4 linked regions of the Sus scrofa genome follow. The protein of the gene in region 2 interacts with the protein of the main gene of each other region in a biochemical or structural test. Links are inferred from orthologs where the notes say so. Each region holds a gene or a part of one and is shown on either strand. Other genes may lie near its edges.

Evidence for each region.
Region 1: the proteins of ARF6 (region 2) and CYTH1 form a complex in vitro, tested with the Homo sapiens proteins (2 studies listed by BioGRID and IntAct, with this or other methods). The link is inferred for Sus scrofa from reciprocal best matches to the Homo sapiens genes ARF6 and CYTH1.
Region 3: the proteins of ARF6 (region 2) and RAB11FIP3 form a complex in vitro, tested with the Homo sapiens proteins (2 studies listed by BioGRID). The link is inferred for Sus scrofa from reciprocal best matches to the Homo sapiens genes ARF6 and RAB11FIP3.
Region 4: the proteins of ARF6 (region 2) and CYTH2 form a complex in vitro, tested with the Homo sapiens proteins (3 studies listed by BioGRID and IntAct, with this or other methods). The link is inferred for Sus scrofa from reciprocal best matches to the Homo sapiens genes ARF6 and CYTH2.

The regions. Positions count from the first base shown.
Region 1 is NC_010454.4:3,391,420-3,396,016, reverse strand, and holds the start of CYTH1 (cytohesin-1), read right to left. Parts: upstream 2,883-4,597; 5' UTR 2,761-2,882; coding exon 2,733-2,760; intron 1-2,732. UniProt on the Homo sapiens protein: Promotes guanine-nucleotide exchange on ARF1, ARF5 and ARF6. Promotes the activation of ARF factors through replacement of GDP with GTP.
Region 2 is NC_010443.5:179,712,223-179,715,133, reverse strand, and holds ARF6 (ADP-ribosylation factor 6), read right to left. Parts: upstream 1,098-2,911; coding exon 570-1,097; downstream 1-569. UniProt on the Homo sapiens protein: GTP-binding protein involved in protein trafficking that regulates endocytic recycling and cytoskeleton remodeling. GTP-bound form plays an important role in the transport of multiple palmitoylated proteins form the Golgi to the plasma membrane.
Region 3 is NC_010445.4:41,282,117-41,286,732, forward strand, and holds the start of RAB11FIP3 (rab11 family-interacting protein 3), read right to left. Parts: upstream 2,883-4,616; 5' UTR 2,868-2,882; coding exon 1,782-2,867; intron 1-1,781. UniProt on the Homo sapiens protein: Downstream effector molecule for Rab11 GTPase which is involved in endocytic trafficking, cytokinesis and intracellular ciliogenesis by participating in membrane delivery. Recruited by Rab11 to endosomes where it links Rab11 to dynein motor complex.
Region 4 is NC_010448.4:53,868,282-53,872,774, forward strand, and holds the start of CYTH2 (cytohesin-2), read left to right. Parts: upstream 1-1,611; 5' UTR 1,612-1,666; coding exon 1,667-1,751; intron 1,752-2,057; coding exon 2,058-2,205; intron 2,206-2,303; coding exon 2,304-2,370; intron 2,371-3,892; coding exon 3,893-4,011; intron 4,012-4,493. UniProt on the Homo sapiens protein: Acts as a guanine-nucleotide exchange factor (GEF). Promotes guanine-nucleotide exchange on ARF1, ARF3 and ARF6. Activates ARF factors through replacement of GDP with GTP.

The sequences.
Region 1 (4,597 bases), on a different chromosome or scaffold from region 2:
TGACACGCGCCTCCGCCTAAGCAACCTGCCCAACGTGAGGCTGGCCCGGCTACAAGCAACACATTTAGAGAACAGGAGGGGATGAGGGGTGAGTTAACACCGGAGAGACTACTTCAGATGCAACCTGAAAACCCACTATCCCAAAGGAGAGCCACTCTGCGCTCTCCAGCCCCTTTTCCCACGTAACTCTGCCCTAGAGTCACAGCGTGTCCACAGCTTACAAATCTTTTTTCATTTTCATTTGAACTTGACAATAAAGTCCAACCACGAACTCTGCACACTTCCTGACAATGAACTATGCACTGTTACCTCCAGTTTCTAGGGGAGGTAAGACTCCTTGAGTGTGAAGAGTCTCCAGAGCTGAAATTCTAATTAAACTATTCCTGGCCAAACAACTCCAGACTGAGCCCAACTCAAGCTCACTGGCTGAGGGCTCAGCAGAATCAGCACCCCGCCCTTGCACTCGCCCAGCCTGTGCTCGGGGCTGGGATTAAGTAGCCCCGGACGTGCCCTGCACAAGGGAAAGGCCAGGGAGAGGCCAGGTGCCAGGGACGGCGAACACACGTCAGGTGGGGCCCAGGACACCCGGCAGAAAGCCTTTCTGTGCACGGGTGAGGGCTGTGTGTCCCACACACCAAGGAGCTCAGAGTCCTTCCCAAAGAGAGGGGTCAAAGGTTAATCAAAGGGGAACAAACACTAAAACGAGCAGATTAGGAGGTGCCCGCTGGCCCAGCCGTTAAGGACCTGGCACGGTCACCGCTGTGATATGGTCCTAGGGTGCAGGTTCGATCCCTGGCCCAGGAATTTCTACATGCCCCAGGCCAAAACAAAACAAAAGGACGAATAAATAGCCCATTAAACAGCCCAAGCAGGAAAGAAAATGGTGCCCAGTTCAGTGAAATGGTTGCTCTCCGCTGGCACACGGCTGCACGGCTAGAGTGGAAGTCAGCGGTCGGGAGAACCAGAGGCGACGCCTCGTCTGCAGCAGGACGGCGACCGCGGACTGTGGGGCAGGCGGAGTTGGGCTTCTTTAGAACCACGGGGGCTTCTGGCCACCGTGTGGCATGTGGTGTTCTGGGACCAGGGCTCAGACCTGAGCCGCAGCTGTGGCAGGGCCGGATCCTTAACCCACTGCGCCAGGCCGGGGATGGAACTTGCTTCCCAGCGCTTCCGAGATGCCACCAATCCTGCTGTGCCACAGCGGGCACTCCGAGCCATTTGTCAAACTTGATTCCCCCGTCTTGGAGCCTCTCTGGGTAACAAGCTAGTCCACGCCGCGGCGAGAGCAGCAACACGCTGGCACCTCGCTCTCCCGGGGGAGACCATGGACCCGCCCAGAAAGGCCACGAGCTCGCTTCACGCTCACATCTGCCTGATGCCACCTCCACATCTCCCCTCGATGCCTCGCGACACTGCCTCCCTCTCGTCCCAAAGAGACCACACGACCAAGCTCTCCCAGGGGGACTGAGGGAGACAGAGAGCCACCTGTCAAAGCAACGCTGCCTGCTAACCGCCTCTAAACCACCCGGCCCCACGTCACCCCTGCGTCAAGGGCGCACCCTGAGCAGCTGCGTTTCAGCTAAAGCCTCCGACATGGGAGAGGCCGACAACACGGGCCCCCTTACTTTCGAGTTTGCAGTGGCTGGTGAACAGCGCCACCGGGCAGGTCTGAGGCCAGGCCAGGGCAGGAGCAGCGGTCAGAGGGAAGGACCGGCTCAGGGAGTGGTGGTCGCGTCTGCCCACTGCCCAGGCCAGGCGCCATCGGCGAGCGTCCTCCTCCACGGGCACGAGGGCCCCTTGTGCACCAGAGACCTGGGCTACTGCGGACTCCCCTCCGAGACAACTCCCACGGGGGCGGCTCAGCCCTGACCCGGAATCGCCTCTCGCAACCGCCCCCTCTTTGCCGGCACAGCGTTATGAACCAACACCCACTGCCCTCTCTCCCGGGGCCGCCCCCACGGGACCCCACGGATGTGGTCCACGCCCCGCCCAGCAGAGACGGCACCTGGAGACGTGCCGCATGGTGCGCCCGACGAGGAAAGGCATAAAAAGGAGCCCCAACACTTTCAAAGCCATGAGCCGCTTTGCAAAACATCCTAACGTGCGTTTCAGACCTATTCCTGTCACTCGTTACTGGCTGCAAGCTGTCTTACGTTTAAAGGGCAGCCTCACGTCCTTGTCACCCAGGGAAGGCACCCACGAAAGCGCCACACCCAGCCAGCCCCTGACGTCAGGACACGCGAGAGCCCTGACCCAGGCTCCTCGAAGCCAGTTCTTCTGCAAAAACTTTCGGGACTTACCATCCACGAACCGTGTCATCCCTTTACTCAGCGTCCAGCTGGTGACAGCGCGGGCGGGCGGGGAGGGGACACCCCAGAGGAAGCCCCACCGGTGCTTTCCGCCCGGTCTCCCACGCCCCTCCTTCCGCGGGGTCACACGCGCTCTGGGGGTACCTGCAACTCCAGAGCTCCTAGGACAGGCACCCAGACTCCGGAAGTACAGACACGGTCGCCGAGAAGGAGGGCACAGGCCACCGAGCCACACGCAGGGCGGCGCGTAGGCAAGAAGAGTGGGGGGGGAGCTTCCGTGTCACAACGGGCTCTCCCCTCCCCCTCCCCCCCCACCTCTCTCAGTCGGCACTCCCCCCCAAGAGGCGGCGACTCGCAGACCTTCCACGCTGATCAAGAGACGCCAACCCCCGCCCCACTCGCCCAGGCAACACCGGGACTCACCAGCCCCCTCCTCGGTTTGACGGACCATCTCTCCCCCCGCGGCCGCCCCGAAGGTGGCGGGGCTCGTTCTTCAAAGGAGAGCTCGGCCCAGGTGCCCTGGGAGGCAGGGCTGGGTGGGGCAGGACCACCTGCGGGCCCACCCGCGGCTCCGAGCTGCTTCCTGGACTAGGGGAGCTTGCGGCCGCGCTCCTGGGCCAATCGGCCTCCAGCCACGGCGGCGTCCCTCCCAGCTCACTGCCACCACCCAGTTCCTGAAGTCAAGCTCAAGTAACTTCCTCGAGGTTAACCAGCTCCGCCCTGGCAAGCGTCTGACGCTGGAGTCCAGGGAGCAGCAGAGGCTCTTCTGGGCTTTGCTCAGCTTCAGCCGAAGTGACAGACAGAGCGGAGAAGGCGTTCTTCTCACCCCCCAAGGACTTTCTTGGAGTGAATCACTTAAAACCCCGGTCATCTCACGATGAGATTACAGCGCATTTCCCCAGAGTGTGACTAAGAGATCCTAATCATTCCAAGACCTCATGAGGTCACAGGAGAAAAGCAGGAGGCAGGCTTTAGTGGCCACCCCCCCAAAAAATCTTCGGGTATCACTCCCAGGGTAAGTTCAATGGCATCCCCAGTCTAGGTTCAAACCCAGCCATTCTCCCCCCCCCCTTTTTTTCTTTTCTTTTTATAGCCACACACGTGGCATATGGAGGTTCCCAGGTTAGGGGTCTAACTGGAGCTGTAGCCGCTGGCCTACACCACAGCCACAGCAACACCGGATCTGAGCCGCATCTGTGACCTACACCACAGCTCATAGTAACACCTGATACTTAACCCACTGAGCGAGGCCAGGGATCGAACCTGCGTCCTCATGGATCCTAGTCAGGTTCGTTACCGCTGAGTCACAACGGGAACTCCCAGCTGCTCTTTAGGGCATGCTCTTGTTATAATCATGACACAGGCTCCTTGTGGAAGTTAGGTTATGGCAGTGAGGGGAGAGGTTTAATCCTGTCACCCTGGGGTAATCGCTGATGACATGTCGGTGTATATTCTTCATATTCTTCCATATTTTTATGTACTACATTCTCATTCTCTCTCTTTCATGTATAATATTTAACTCGCAGAGTTCCCATCGTGGCTCAGCAGAAATGAACCTGACGAGTGTCCATGAGGATGCAGCTTCGATCCCTGGCCTCAATCAGTGGGTTAGGGATGTGGTGTTGCTGTGAGCTGTCATGTAGGTTGCAAATGCGGCTTGGATCCCGAATTGCTATGGCTGTGGTTTAGGCTGGCAGCTACAGCTCCAATTCGACCCCTAACCTGGGAACCTCCATATGCCACGGGTGCGGCCCTTAAAAAAAAAAAAAAAACTTAACTCTCTCTGTATCTCTCTTTATAGGTCTATATCACTCATGTATCTGTCACATTTAATAGGATAATAACCAAATATATTATATAACATGTGAGATACATTTTACTGACACCCCTGGCCCCAGAGCCGTCAGTGCGAGCGGAGCCACATGGAGCGCCAGCACTGGTTATCACTCAGGCTCCTGCGAGGGGGCTCTGCCCAGCCGCAACCTCAGTGTCCTGAGCAGGGTGAGGCGGGCCAGGCTCAGCTACGACCTTCAGTAGGTTAAGAGCATTTGTGACTTTATGACGTTTTCAGCTTATGATGGGTTTATCAGGATGCAACGTGAAAAGCTTCATGAATATTCACATAATGTTCTGGGGAAAGTCTTTTTCTCAGCACAAGACCCATGTCAGTCACCACCCCAAAGAGACAGAGACGCTCTCGGGGTGGGAGTCTGAGAGAAGAGGGACTGGCCCGTCTTAGGCGTGAGGCCGGAGTCTGGGGAGACCACAAGGCGCTGCAGCCCACCAGG
Region 2 (2,911 bases):
AGGTCACATTTGAATTTACTAAGTTGGAATTCATAAGGGAGGGGGAAAAGGCCTTAAATATAAAAGACAAACGGCAGTTTGATTAAGCAATAATTTTCAGTTTACTAGATGAAACAGACTTGCAACATAGTCTGCATGAATGCAAAATAAGCCATCTACAGCAAGTGATAAGGAAACTGGGCAAAAAGGAAAAAAGCATACATTGGAAAAGAAGATTCTCTCGAAATAAAAAAATCAAACCATTATTATAAAGGAATTTATCAAGAACTGCTGTATTTCCCCCATCCCATTTGCTGGAAGTCAACGAGAGTATCTAAGTACTTTGTGTTCGTGTCAAAAGTCAGCTCAGAGCATCCTAACGCAAAGCCAAAAAAAAAAAAAGAAAGAAAGAAAAAGAAAAGAAACAAAAAAGAAACCCCCTAACCCCCTCCCCCAAACCGTAGAACTGTAACTCCAAAGTTCAAATTCAAAAGAAGAGAAAGTGGCAATTCAAAGAGGTGATGGTGGCGATAATCCTATGAATGGGTTTTTGATTTCTCTCCTTCTGGGGGATGGGTGGAGAATGCTCATTAGGATTTGTAGTTAGAGGTTAACCATGTGAGCCCCTCATAGAGTCCGTCCCCCGAGGTGGCACAGGAGGGCTGCACATACCAGTTCCTGTCCCGAATCCGGGTCAGGCCCAGTTTCTCCTGGATCTCGTGGGGTTTCATGGCATCAGGCAGGTCCTGCTTGTTGGCGAAGATGAGGATTATGGCGTCCCTCATCTCCCGGTCATTGATAATGCGGTGTAGCTCCTGGCGGGCCTCGTCTATGCGGTCGCGGTCGGCGCAGTCCACTACGAAGATCAGACCCTGGGTCCCGGTGTAGTAATGCCGCCAGAGCGGCCGGATCTTGTCCTGGCCGCCCACATCCCATACGTTGAACTTGACGTTTTTGTAAGTCACCGTCTCCACGTTGAAACCCACGGTGGGGATGGTGGTCACCGACTGGCCCAGCTTCAACTTGTACAGGATGGTTGTCTTGCCGGCCGCGTCCAGGCCCAACATGAGGATTCGCATTTCCTTGTTCCCGAAGATCTTAGATAGCACCTTCCCCATCGCTTCGGAGGAACCGGGGCCGGGGGCATTCAGGTGTCCCGGGTCCCCTCCAACAACGCCGCCGCCGCCGCGAAACCGAAACGGAGCTTCCCAGTCGCGAGGGGGCCCGTGCGGCCTGCGTGGGAGTTGCCTCCTCAGGGCAGAGGCCCGGGCCCGTAGCTCACTCGGGCATCACCGACCACACAACTTGATTCCTCCCGTCGCCGCGGCCTGAGTCTGCGTTGGGAGAGCCGCCGCCCTGCTGAGGCGCGGCCCGGCCCGGAACTGCCCTTCCCCCCGCAGGCGCCGTACAAGCGCCGCCGCCGGCTCCTGCTCGGCCGCCTTCACCTCACTCCGCCGCGGGAGACTGCGGCCCTTCGGCCCGGCCTCCGGTCCGCGGAGCACCGCGCTCACCACTGACCCAGGCCACACGAGAGCAGAGCGGCTCCGGCGCCCCGTCGGGTCATTGATCCTCGCGGGAACTCGGTGCGCTGCCTGCAGAAACACAGAGAGGAAAAAGGGAGTTACTGCGGGAGCCCCAGAAGAGAGCGGAGGCCGAAGGAGCCCGCCTTTCCAGCTCAGCCCAGGAGGTTACCTCCAGCCGCCGCCCAGAGCGCGGGCTCCCTCCGGCCTCCACCGCCTCCTCCCAGTTCTACCGCCGCCGCCGCCGGAAAAGGCGCCGAGGAAACCGCCTCACTTCCCCTCCCGACGACGCAGGCGCAGCAGAGGCCGACCGTTCGGGACAAGAGCGACCTCTGTAAGGAGAGCGGCCTGCGCGCCAAGCGTCAGGGGCGCCACGCGCGGAGGGGCGGGGCTACGGCGGCTCGGAGGCTCCCAGGTGGGGCCAGCCCTGCTCCCGCGCAGCCCGGGCTCTGACCCGCGCCCACCTGTAGCTATTCTAGCGTCTTCTCCCCTCTCTGCTTTTCTCTTCCGCGCGCTCTCCTCCTCCGCCCCCATTGGAACCTGAGAAGCAGATCCACTGGGTGGGGCCCGTTGGCCGCCCGCTCTCCAGATGAAAGCCTCCCCCTGCTTTGCTTCCAGGCCTCTTCTCCGTCCTCGGCGCCTGCCAGATGCTCTGCGAGTTCTCTCTTGCCCACCCCAGGCTTCGTGTGCCCTCCATCTCCCTGTGAATCCCTATCTGCTGTTTTAAACCTTTCACCCAACTCCCTTTGGCTTTCTTTTTCCTTCGTTTTGTGCATTTCCTGAGAGACACGTGGGAGGCCAGTGGTTCCCGTGGGATTTGCCGTTCAGTGCGGCGCGTTTACTGGGTTTGGGTTTCCTCTAAAGCCCGTCTTTTGAGTGTTTGAGCCGTCAGGAGCAATCCACGTTTCTTAAAAATTACAGTATTTTCAAGACTTCCCATGCTTTTCCTTTTTAAATATCTTTTACTGTGATTAGTAGTAGTTTCTCATTCTTAATTTTCAGCAGCCTCGTCTATATAATCTTAGCGTTGGATTTAGAATAGGAAAAACTACTTCTGACGCCTGGATTCGGACATTTGACCTTATCGAGTTGATCTCATGCGTAAACTGAGTGTAATTCTGACCCCACTGTCTAGAAGCCCACTTGAGGGCTTTTATTATTATACGTATAATGTTTGTAGAAAGGGAACCCTCTTTGTATCAAATGATTAGTGATAAAGTTCAAATATGAAGAAAGCTTGAAATAAACCAAAAGGAGGAAAAACAGGAAAATAGCGTGTTTGTTTTTTTTTTTTAAAGAATATGATGTGATAGCATAAAGTAACATACTTTTTGTTTCACAGTTTAAAAAAAATTTGATAATGGTAGATTGGTTAAGTGATAACCTTTAAGCTTCAGCCTGAAGTAAATTTA
Region 3 (4,616 bases), on a different chromosome or scaffold from region 2:
GGAACCACGAGGTTGCCGGTTCGATCCCTGGCCTCACTCAGCGGGTGAAGGATCCGGCATTGCCGTGAGCCGTGGTGTAGGTCGCAGACGCGGCTCGGAGCCCGTGTTGCTGTGGCTGTGGTGGAGGCCAGTGGCTACAGCTCCGATTCGACCCCTAGCCTGGGAACCTCCAGGCAGGTGCAGCCCTAAAAGGACAAAAAAACAAAAAACAAACAAAAGCACCTGGAGCAGCCATCTCGGTCCAAGCTAAGCACACAGGATATTATCAGTTGTGTATCTCTCCGTCCGTCAGACTAAGAGATGGGAAACCCAATCTCAAGCAAGATCTTCCAACCCAGAGCTAAAGCAGGGCGTCCCACAGACCCAACGCCGACATGCAGGCCCACTGCCACATGCACATCTTCCCAGGCCGGGACCTCAACAAGGAACCTGAGCTCAGGCAAGCCGGTTCTGCACCCAACAGCTCAATGGACACTGTCAACACTCACGGGCACCCGGATCCCTTGTACAGGCTCTTAACGTGATGACGGATGCTCTGAAAAGCAGGGTGTCAATGATGCCTCTTAAAGACCTCTGGGCTTAAACATGTATCCACGCTTGAACAGCCACTTTACGAATGTCCGCAAGTGTGAGAAGTCAGCAACACACAAAAACTAGCAGATCAGCATTTTAGGAATTTCCTATTCCTAAGTCAAAAATTTACAAGTAGGAGTTCCTGTCGTGGCTCAGTGGAAACAAATCTGACTAGCATCCATGAGGACACAGGTTCGATCCCTGGCCTTGCTCAGTGGGTTAAGGATCCGGCGTTGCTGCGAGCCGCGGTGTAGGTTGCACATGTGGCTCGGATCTGATGTGGCTGTGGCTGGCAGCTGCAGCTCTGATGTGACCCCTAACCTGGGAACCTCCATATGCTGCCGGTGTGGCCCTAAAAAAAATAATAATAATAAAGGCAAAAATAAAAAAAATTACAAGTGAACGTCGGTAATCAATTTGCATGTATTTGGGTTAATACCAGAACACACACAGCCCTGCTGCTGTCTCCACCTAAACTTTCCTAAGCGCTGGGAGGGAGGGACTGGAGGGTGAGGGCCACCTCCTCCTAGCGCAGCCACAGCCCCGGGGGGCTGGGCAGGACCCCCTGCCCCACTGCACTGTGCCTTCCCAACACCTGCCCCACAGGCGAGGAGGTGGCCCTGAGGCAGTTCTGCTCAGGCTTCCTCAAGTCTGCATGCACCATGGTGCTCCGAGGCTCATTCCCCTCCCTCTGGGCTTCCTCTCTTTCCCTTCTGCACAGAAGGAACAGCAGTGAAATTTTTTGGCATTCGGCGTCTCCCAAACAACGAGTCTATGGAGAACATATGCCAACCACACACAGTAAAGTAACTGCGCTCAAAATAGACGTCTGGAACATGATCCCTAAGCGTCCAGGTGCCCCGTGGCAGACCCAAGGAGCGAATTACTTCAGCCCGACCAGACCTGGGCCCTCCGCTGGGGGAACGGCGGGCACGTCTGCGGAGGGCACTTCCATCGGGCAGCCTGGGGGCATGTCCCCAGGCCAGGCGCTCCCCTCGACTTAGGAAAATATCCAGCTTGTGTGGCCTGAGACGTCAGGGAAGACACTAAATCCCGGAATTAGAACCTCTCTCAAGGGGAAAGAGGCGCTTCGGCGAAATTCGACCAGAGGTGAGGGCAGAAGTCAAGCACGAGAGGACGCGGACCCCGGCCTTAAGTGCCCTCCGCGACCCCCGCGCACGGAGCCCGGCTCCCACGCTGCGAGTTACCTGCTCTGCCCCGTAGACGGTGGCGAACTGGACGAAGTCCGCGATGCGGACGAAGCCGTCTCCATCCCCGTCCAGGGCTTCGAACACGGCTCGGAGCCGGGGGGCGTCCTCCGGACACCCCGCGGGCTCGCTCGTTAAGGGGCGGGTCTGGCTGAAGTCCGAGGGCCGGTCCGGGTCCCCGGGACCCAGCTCCAGCGCCGGCTCGCCGACCTCGGGCGAGGGGAAGGGGGGGAAGAAGTCGACCTCGCCCCGCAGGTGGTGGCTGCGGCTGAAATCCTGCGCGCGGGCTGTCGCGCTGTGCGGGCAGCTTGGGGGGCCGTCACCCTCCGGCTCAGCGGTCCAGGAATAAAGCGGGCCTAGTTCCGACAGCGGCGGGTCGGGGTCGGGGTCGGGGTCGGGATCGGAGTCGGGGTCCGGGTCTGGGGCCCGGCCAAGGCGCTGAGGCCTCCGCTCCGGCCCCGGGCCCCGTCCGGCCTCCGGGCCGGCTTCGGGGTCTTGCGGGCCGAGCCCCAGGTGGAGGGCGGGAGCGGAGGGCGCGCCGGGCCCGCCGGGGTCTGGGTCGGGGCCCGGGCCGCCCGAGGGGGAGGCCGGCCGGCCCGGCTCCATCTTCATGGGCGCGCCCCCGGCCGCGGCGCAGGCCCGCGAGGCCAGTGGAACGGCGGGCGGCGCGGGCGGCAGACAAAGGCGCTCAGGGCGCGGCGGCGGGCGCGGGCATCCCCGCGGCGACGCGGGCGGGCGCGCGCGGGGCGCCCGGGCTGCTCGGGCTGGCGCTCGGGCCCTGCTCCGCCCTCGCCCATCTTCGCGCCGCGCCTCAGCTGTCCTCGGCCCTGCGGCGCGGCGGGCGCGGGCCCATGGCGGCGGCGGCGGCGGCGGCGGGTGGCACAAGGAAGCCGAGGGTGAGGACGAGGAGGGGAGGCTAAGGAGCGGGTCGCCGAGGAGGGGGATCTGGAGAATCAGGACCCTAAACAGGAGGACGGCGCGCAGGAGGACGCTGAGGGGAACACGGTTGAGGAGGACGAGGAGGTGTCCGCGGTACCCGAGCTCACGCCGCCGCCCTCGCCCCGCCCTCTGTCGGCCTGACGTCATCACGTCGCGCCGCCATCTGGCTCCGCCCCTCGCCGGGCTGCTATAAAGGCAGGCAGCCGCGCTGCGAAGCTGTGGGGCTGTATGTGGGTCTCCCTTCCTCTGCGGCACCGGGAGGCTGGGTGTAAAGGGGGCGAATGCGCTGGAAGGCAGCAACCCCGGGCGTGACGTCATGCACCCCCACACGCAACGCGGATGACTGCGTCTTGCCTGCATAAAGAGCTCCCTCAAATTGATAAGCAACGGATGCGATCCAACCGGGCGAGCGAAGTGCGCGTGACATCCTCCTCCCGCAACCGTGGCTCGCAGTCCCGGCCTGAGTGTGGAAGGGCCCTGAACATGCGGTCCCTCACTTGTGACCCAAGGAACGGGTGGCCCAACGCAGAGGCCTTTTTTAAAAATCTCGGACAGGAGTTCCCGTCGTGGCGCAGTGGTTAACGCATCCGACTAGAAACCATGAGGTTGCGGGTTCGGTCCCTGCCCTCGATCAGCGGGTTAAGGATCCGGTGTCAAGGTTGCAGACGCGGCTCGGATCCCGCGTTGCTGTGGCTGTGGCGTAGGCCGGCGGCTACAGCTCCGATTCGACCCCTAGTCTGGGAACCTCCATATGCTGCAGCTCCAATTAGACCCCTAGTCTGGGAACCTCCATATGCCACGGGTGCAACTGTAAAAAGAGAAAAAAAATTCACAGAATTGTATCACCAGAGAATGAATTTCACTGCGTGTAAATTATACCTTAGTAAAAAAATAATTTTTTAAAAAAATTATCCCTGTGTTTTCTTTTTCTTGTTTTCCTTATGTCCTCTGCCTTCCTCATGTCTTTAGAAAACACTAGCCCCCTAGGCCTTCCCCGAGTTCCAAAGAGTAAATTTAATTAGAAAAGTGAAAAAAAAATGTAGAAAGAAAGGAAAAGAGTCAAGCAGCAGACAGACAGAACAGTCAAGGAGCCTTAGTTAGCTCCTCCTCAAGGGGGCTATAGATCACTTTTTTTTTTTAGGGCCACACCTACAAACCCACGTCCTCATGGACAGTAGTCGGGTTCAATACCCCTAAGCCACAAGGGGAACTCCGATAGATCATCTTCCGAGCTGTTTTTTTGGGTTTTTTTTTTTTTTTGTCCTTTTGCCTTTTCTACAGCCTTACCCTGAATCATATGGAGGTTCTCGGGCTAGGGGTCTAATTGGAGCTGCAGGCCAAGCCTACACCAGAACCACAGCAACTCAGGATGCAACCCACACCACAGCTCACAGCAACGCCGGATCCTTAACCCACTGAGCAAGGCCAGGGATCGAACCCGAAACCTCGTGGATTCTTCGTCGGATTCGTTAACCACTGAGCCATGACAGGAACTCCCTTCAGACCTGTTTTGCAGAGGCTGAAACCCCACCAGGTGAAGAAGTTAAGTATATGGAGCCCACCAGCTCCTAGTCCCCAGACCAGCTGGAACGGAAGCCTGAGGATGCTGACTTGATTTCATCACCACCAGTCAATCATCAGAATATCCTCGAGCTGATCACGTGCCCCCTCCCTCACCCTGCCTTTAAAAGCCTTTTCCTGGAGTTCCCGTCGTGGCGCAGTGGTTAACGAATCCGACTAGGAACCATGAGGTTGCGGGTTCGGTCCCTGCCCTTGCTCAGTGGGTTAAGGATCCGGCATTGCCGTGAGCTGTGGTGTCGGTTGCAGACGCGGCTCGGATCCCAAGTTGCTGTGGCTCTGGCGTAGGCCGGTGGCTACAGCTCCGATTCAACCCCT
Region 4 (4,493 bases), on a different chromosome or scaffold from region 2:
AAGAGGCGGTTTTTGCCCAGTTTCTCCATCTGAACCAGGTCCCTGCACCCGTTTTGCCTGCAAGGAAAGGGAATGAGAGGTGGGGGAGGGGAAATGTCCTCAGATGCAGGGCTCGGAGAGGAGGGAGGAGTTTAAGAAGAACAAGACTTTGAGAGGAGGGGAAAGTGAGCTGAGCCGGGTTGGAGAGGACAGTAAGGGGGAGGAATGAAAGGTGGGAGGATGCCGAGGAAAGGGGAGTTGTCCTGGGGCGGGGGTGGTGTAGGGTGGTAAAATAAGGGGAGGAATTCGGGGGAGAGAGGGAGGAAATTGAGAGGCAGCCGGCTCTGGGAAGGCAGAGCCTACGTTTTCACTGTATCTGGCCTTCTCCTATTGTCCCATTCTCCAAGACAGGGACCAAAAAGCTAGCATTTGGAAGAAAGAATGTCTTTTGTTTCACCACTCTTTGACTATGAAGAGGCTGAGGTTGATGGGGAGGCCATGGGAAGGGGTAAGAGATCGGAGGGGCCAGTGCCCAGAGGAAGGAGGCCCAAAGAAAGGTGAGCCAAAGCCGCTCTCGGTTGCATGGCAACCACTGCGGTCAAAAGCCAGCTATGCCTGCTAGGAGATGTGACTCACAGAAACAACCAATGGTTGTGCCCCGCCCCCTGGCAACAAGCCTAATAAGGTACCGCCCCCTAGCAACGTATTGGTGGAGGCGGGGCTCAGTTGAATGGTATCCTAAATGCCCGCAGCCCTTGCGCAGGCGTATTCCTCTCTCTCTTCTCACGCAACTCCTTTCCGAGGCTTCTCATTGGCTTGCAAGCCAGCCAAGTGCTTTCTTTAGTTTCGGAGGCGGGACCCGGTCCCCTGCCAGCATTCCGATTGGCCTCGCAGACCATCTACCTCCTGCCGGACACGGCTATATCTACTCCTTGTGCGTCTATTGGCCGTGGAGGGCGATCCTTTGATATCGGAGGCGGGGCAGGCGAGAAGTCCCGCCGTAGATTGGGCGGTGTCAAAACGAGGGGCGGTCCCTACTGGCGGGGCGGTTGGGAGACGAAGGGAGAGTCTTTTCAGCGCTGAGGACTGGCGCTGAGGAGGCGGCGGTGGCTCCCGGGGCGTTTGAGCGGGCTCACCCGAGCCCGCGGGCCAACGCGGATCCAGGCCCGACCGGCGGGACCGCCCCGGACTCCCCGCGGGCCTTCCTAGCCGCCATGGAGGACGGTGTCTACGGTGAGTCGGGGAGGGGCGGGGCCGGCTGCAAGTGGATGGAGAGTTTCGCCCCGAAGGTTCCGCCGCGAACGTTCTCCCCGTAGCGCGCCTTGCTGAGCCTTTCGGCCCCGTCGTCGCCTTGCTTTTGTGGGGCCTGGGACGCGCTTCCGGCGGGGCTGGAGACTGGGGCGTTCCAGGCCATTGTTTGGGCCGAGCCTGTTTCCGGTGGCGGCGGGAGGGGGTGGGATGGAGCGGTGGAGGCGAGGCCCGGGGCGGAACCATTCCCTCTGGAGGGGCCGGGCGAGCCCAGTGCCTGCTGGGAGCGGGAAGGGGGGCTTCTGGGGGCGGTGGGGTGGGGAGAAATCTTGGGGCCTACCGAGAGCCCGCTAAGGCGGGGGCGGGGGCTTCCGATGCCCCGCCCCCTTCCTTAACTCTTGCCAGCTGTCATCAGCTTCCCCTGCCATAGTTACTTTCCATGGACCCAGGAGTCCGGACACCCAGACCCTCAGCTCCCTCGCCGAGAATGGAGGCAGAAAACCAAGGCCTCAGCCCCCTGTCAAGTAATGGACCGTAGCTCAAGCTTCCAGCCCTTTTTTGCTCCCCGCAGACCTGAGTTGAGGCTCCCAGTCCCCTTCCTCCACCCCCGGACTAAAGAGTTTGGATTCCCAGCCCTTCCATCTCTGGATTGAGGAATCTAGGCCCCCAACCCCTTCTTCCAGCAGACGGAGGAGGCTGGACCCTCATCCTCCCCGAACCTAGACGTCCTGCCCATCCCCCACCCCCACCCCTGTCCTCCCGCAGATGGCAGACATCCGGGTTTGGGGTCCCCAGAACTGACCCCCCCCACCCCCGACCCTCTTCCCCAGAGCCCCCGGACCTGACTCCCGAGGAGCGGATGGAGCTGGAGAACATCCGGCGGCGGAAGCAGGAGCTGCTGGTGGAGATCCAGCGCCTGCGGGAGGAGCTCAGCGAAGCCATGAGCGAAGTCGAGGGGCTGGAGGCCAATGAGGGCAGGTGAGGGCTGGGGCCGGGATCCTGGGGGTCAGGGGGCTTGGCTTGGGCCGGAGATGCACAGGCATTGACCCTCCATCCTGCACTCTCTGCCCCTGCAGCAAGACCTTGCAGCGGAACCGGAAGATGGCAATGGGCAGGAAGAAGTTCAACATGGACCCCAAAAAGGTGCTTGGGACCACAGGGCTGGGATCAGCCAGGAAGACAGACAGGGATTCTGGCATCTCCAGGTAGCAGAGGTGTGGTGGTGGACAGACTCGGGCCTGATCCCTGGATTCAGATATTGGCTGTCCCTCTGTCCCCTGACCTTTGCTTGTGCCTGATCCTCTGCGTGGGAGGTCCTCTTCCCCTTTTTGCTCATATTTCTGGACCCACTTCTTTTTTTTTTTTTTTTTGTTGTTGTTGTTATTGTTGCTATCTCTTGGTTCTTGGGCCGCTCCCGCGGCATATGGAGGTTCCCAGGCTAGGGGTTGAATCGGAGCTGTAGCCACCGGCCTACGCCAGAGCCACAGCAACGCGGGATCCGAGCCGCGTCTGCAACCTACACCACAGCTCACAGCAACGCCGGATCCTTAACCCACTGAGCAAGGGCAGGGACCGAACCCTCAACCTCATGGTTCCTAGTTGGATTCGTTAACCACTGCGCCACGACGGGAACTCCCTGGACCCACTTCTGATGTAATCTGGAGTCCCCAGGAGGAACTCAGTTGAGTCTGGTAGGGAACGTGGACAGGGACATGAGCAAAGGAGGGTTGACAGGTGCCATAACAGAGAGAGAGGTACCAGGGCCATGGATGTTCAGAGCAGGAAGCCTGGTGGCATCAAAGAGGGCTTCCCTGAGGAGGGGGTATTCAGGTCAGGTTTGAAGGATGAATTAGTGTTCCCCGAATGGAAGAAAAATGTTTGTTCATTCATTCTTTCATTTTACGCCCATTTTCTGAGGCCTGCCTGGGGCCCGTCCCTCTGCTAGGCAAGGCCGGGGACCCAGAGAAGACTTTGACCCTGTCTTGCCCTCCAGGAGCCCCTAGACCTGGATACACAATCCAGAGTGAGGTGTAGCCACAGTGGGGATCCTCGTGGCATCAGGAGAGCCAGAAAAAGCCCTAGTCTGGCCTGAGGCCTGGCCCTCACAGCACTTGACTACTAATGGTTTTCCACTTTATTCCTTTTTTCTTTTTTTTTTTTTTTTCCTTTCCATTTTTGGCTGCCCTGGGACATGTGGCCAGGGATCAGATCCAGGCCGCTCTTGTAACCAGTGCTGCAGCTGCAGCAGTGCCGGATCGTTTAACCCACAGTGCCAGGCTGGGGAATCAAACCTGTGTCCTGGTGCTGCAGAAATGCTGCTAATCCTGTTGTGCCACAGCAGGAACTCCCACTTTATTCTGCTTGCCTGAAGTAGTTGTAGTTTGTTCAGTCAACCAGCAAACATTTTTGGAGCTCCTGTTTCTTGCCAGACCCTGCTGGGCTGGGGGGAGTTGGGGAGGGCGGGGCTGGCATTAACCAGGCAAAGGCTATGACGTGGGAGGGATGATGCTAAGTACGGACCTGGGCAAAGCTTGGAAATGAAACTCGGCCCTGCTCTGTTGGGCATGGGGGGTGGGTTCGGAGGCTGAGGGTTCTGAGACTTTGGTGGGAAGTGGCCTGCCCAGCACGCCGGCCCTGAGACCCAGCCCCCACCCCCGCCCACCAGGGGATCCAGTTCCTGGTGGAGGATGAACTTCTACAGAACACCCCCGAGGAGATCGCCCGCTTCCTGTACAAGGGCGAAGGCCTGAACAAGACGGCCATCGGGGACTACCTGGGGGAGAGGTGAGCCCCCACCCCACCCCTACCGCTCGCACCCAGCTCCTGCCCTCGGACTGCCAGCGCCTCCCGAGGAGAGGCCCAGCCGGCTGGACTGGCAAAAGGAACTGACACGGGTCTGGGGGAGCCAGAGACCTTCTGGGGAGCCTGGGGACCATCTGCGAGCATCTAGGGGGCTTGGGGACCTTTGTGGACATCTGGGCCGCGTGGGGGACCATCCATTTATGTCGGGAGACAGTTGAGAACACCTGCAAGTGTTGCGGGAGCGTGCGAAGCACGTGTAGACCGCAGGCGTGCACGGGAACCATGTGGACAGCTGGGAAGCGTGGGGGCTGCCGGTGGATATCTGGGGAACATGGGGGCCCCGTGGACGTCCGTGAGCGTGAGGGCCATGTGGCCCTCCAGGGTGTGTGTGGGGCACCTAGAAGTGTAGAGTATGTGAGACGTCGGCAGGAGTGGATGGCTGTCTGGGGTTCCCAGGGGTTTAC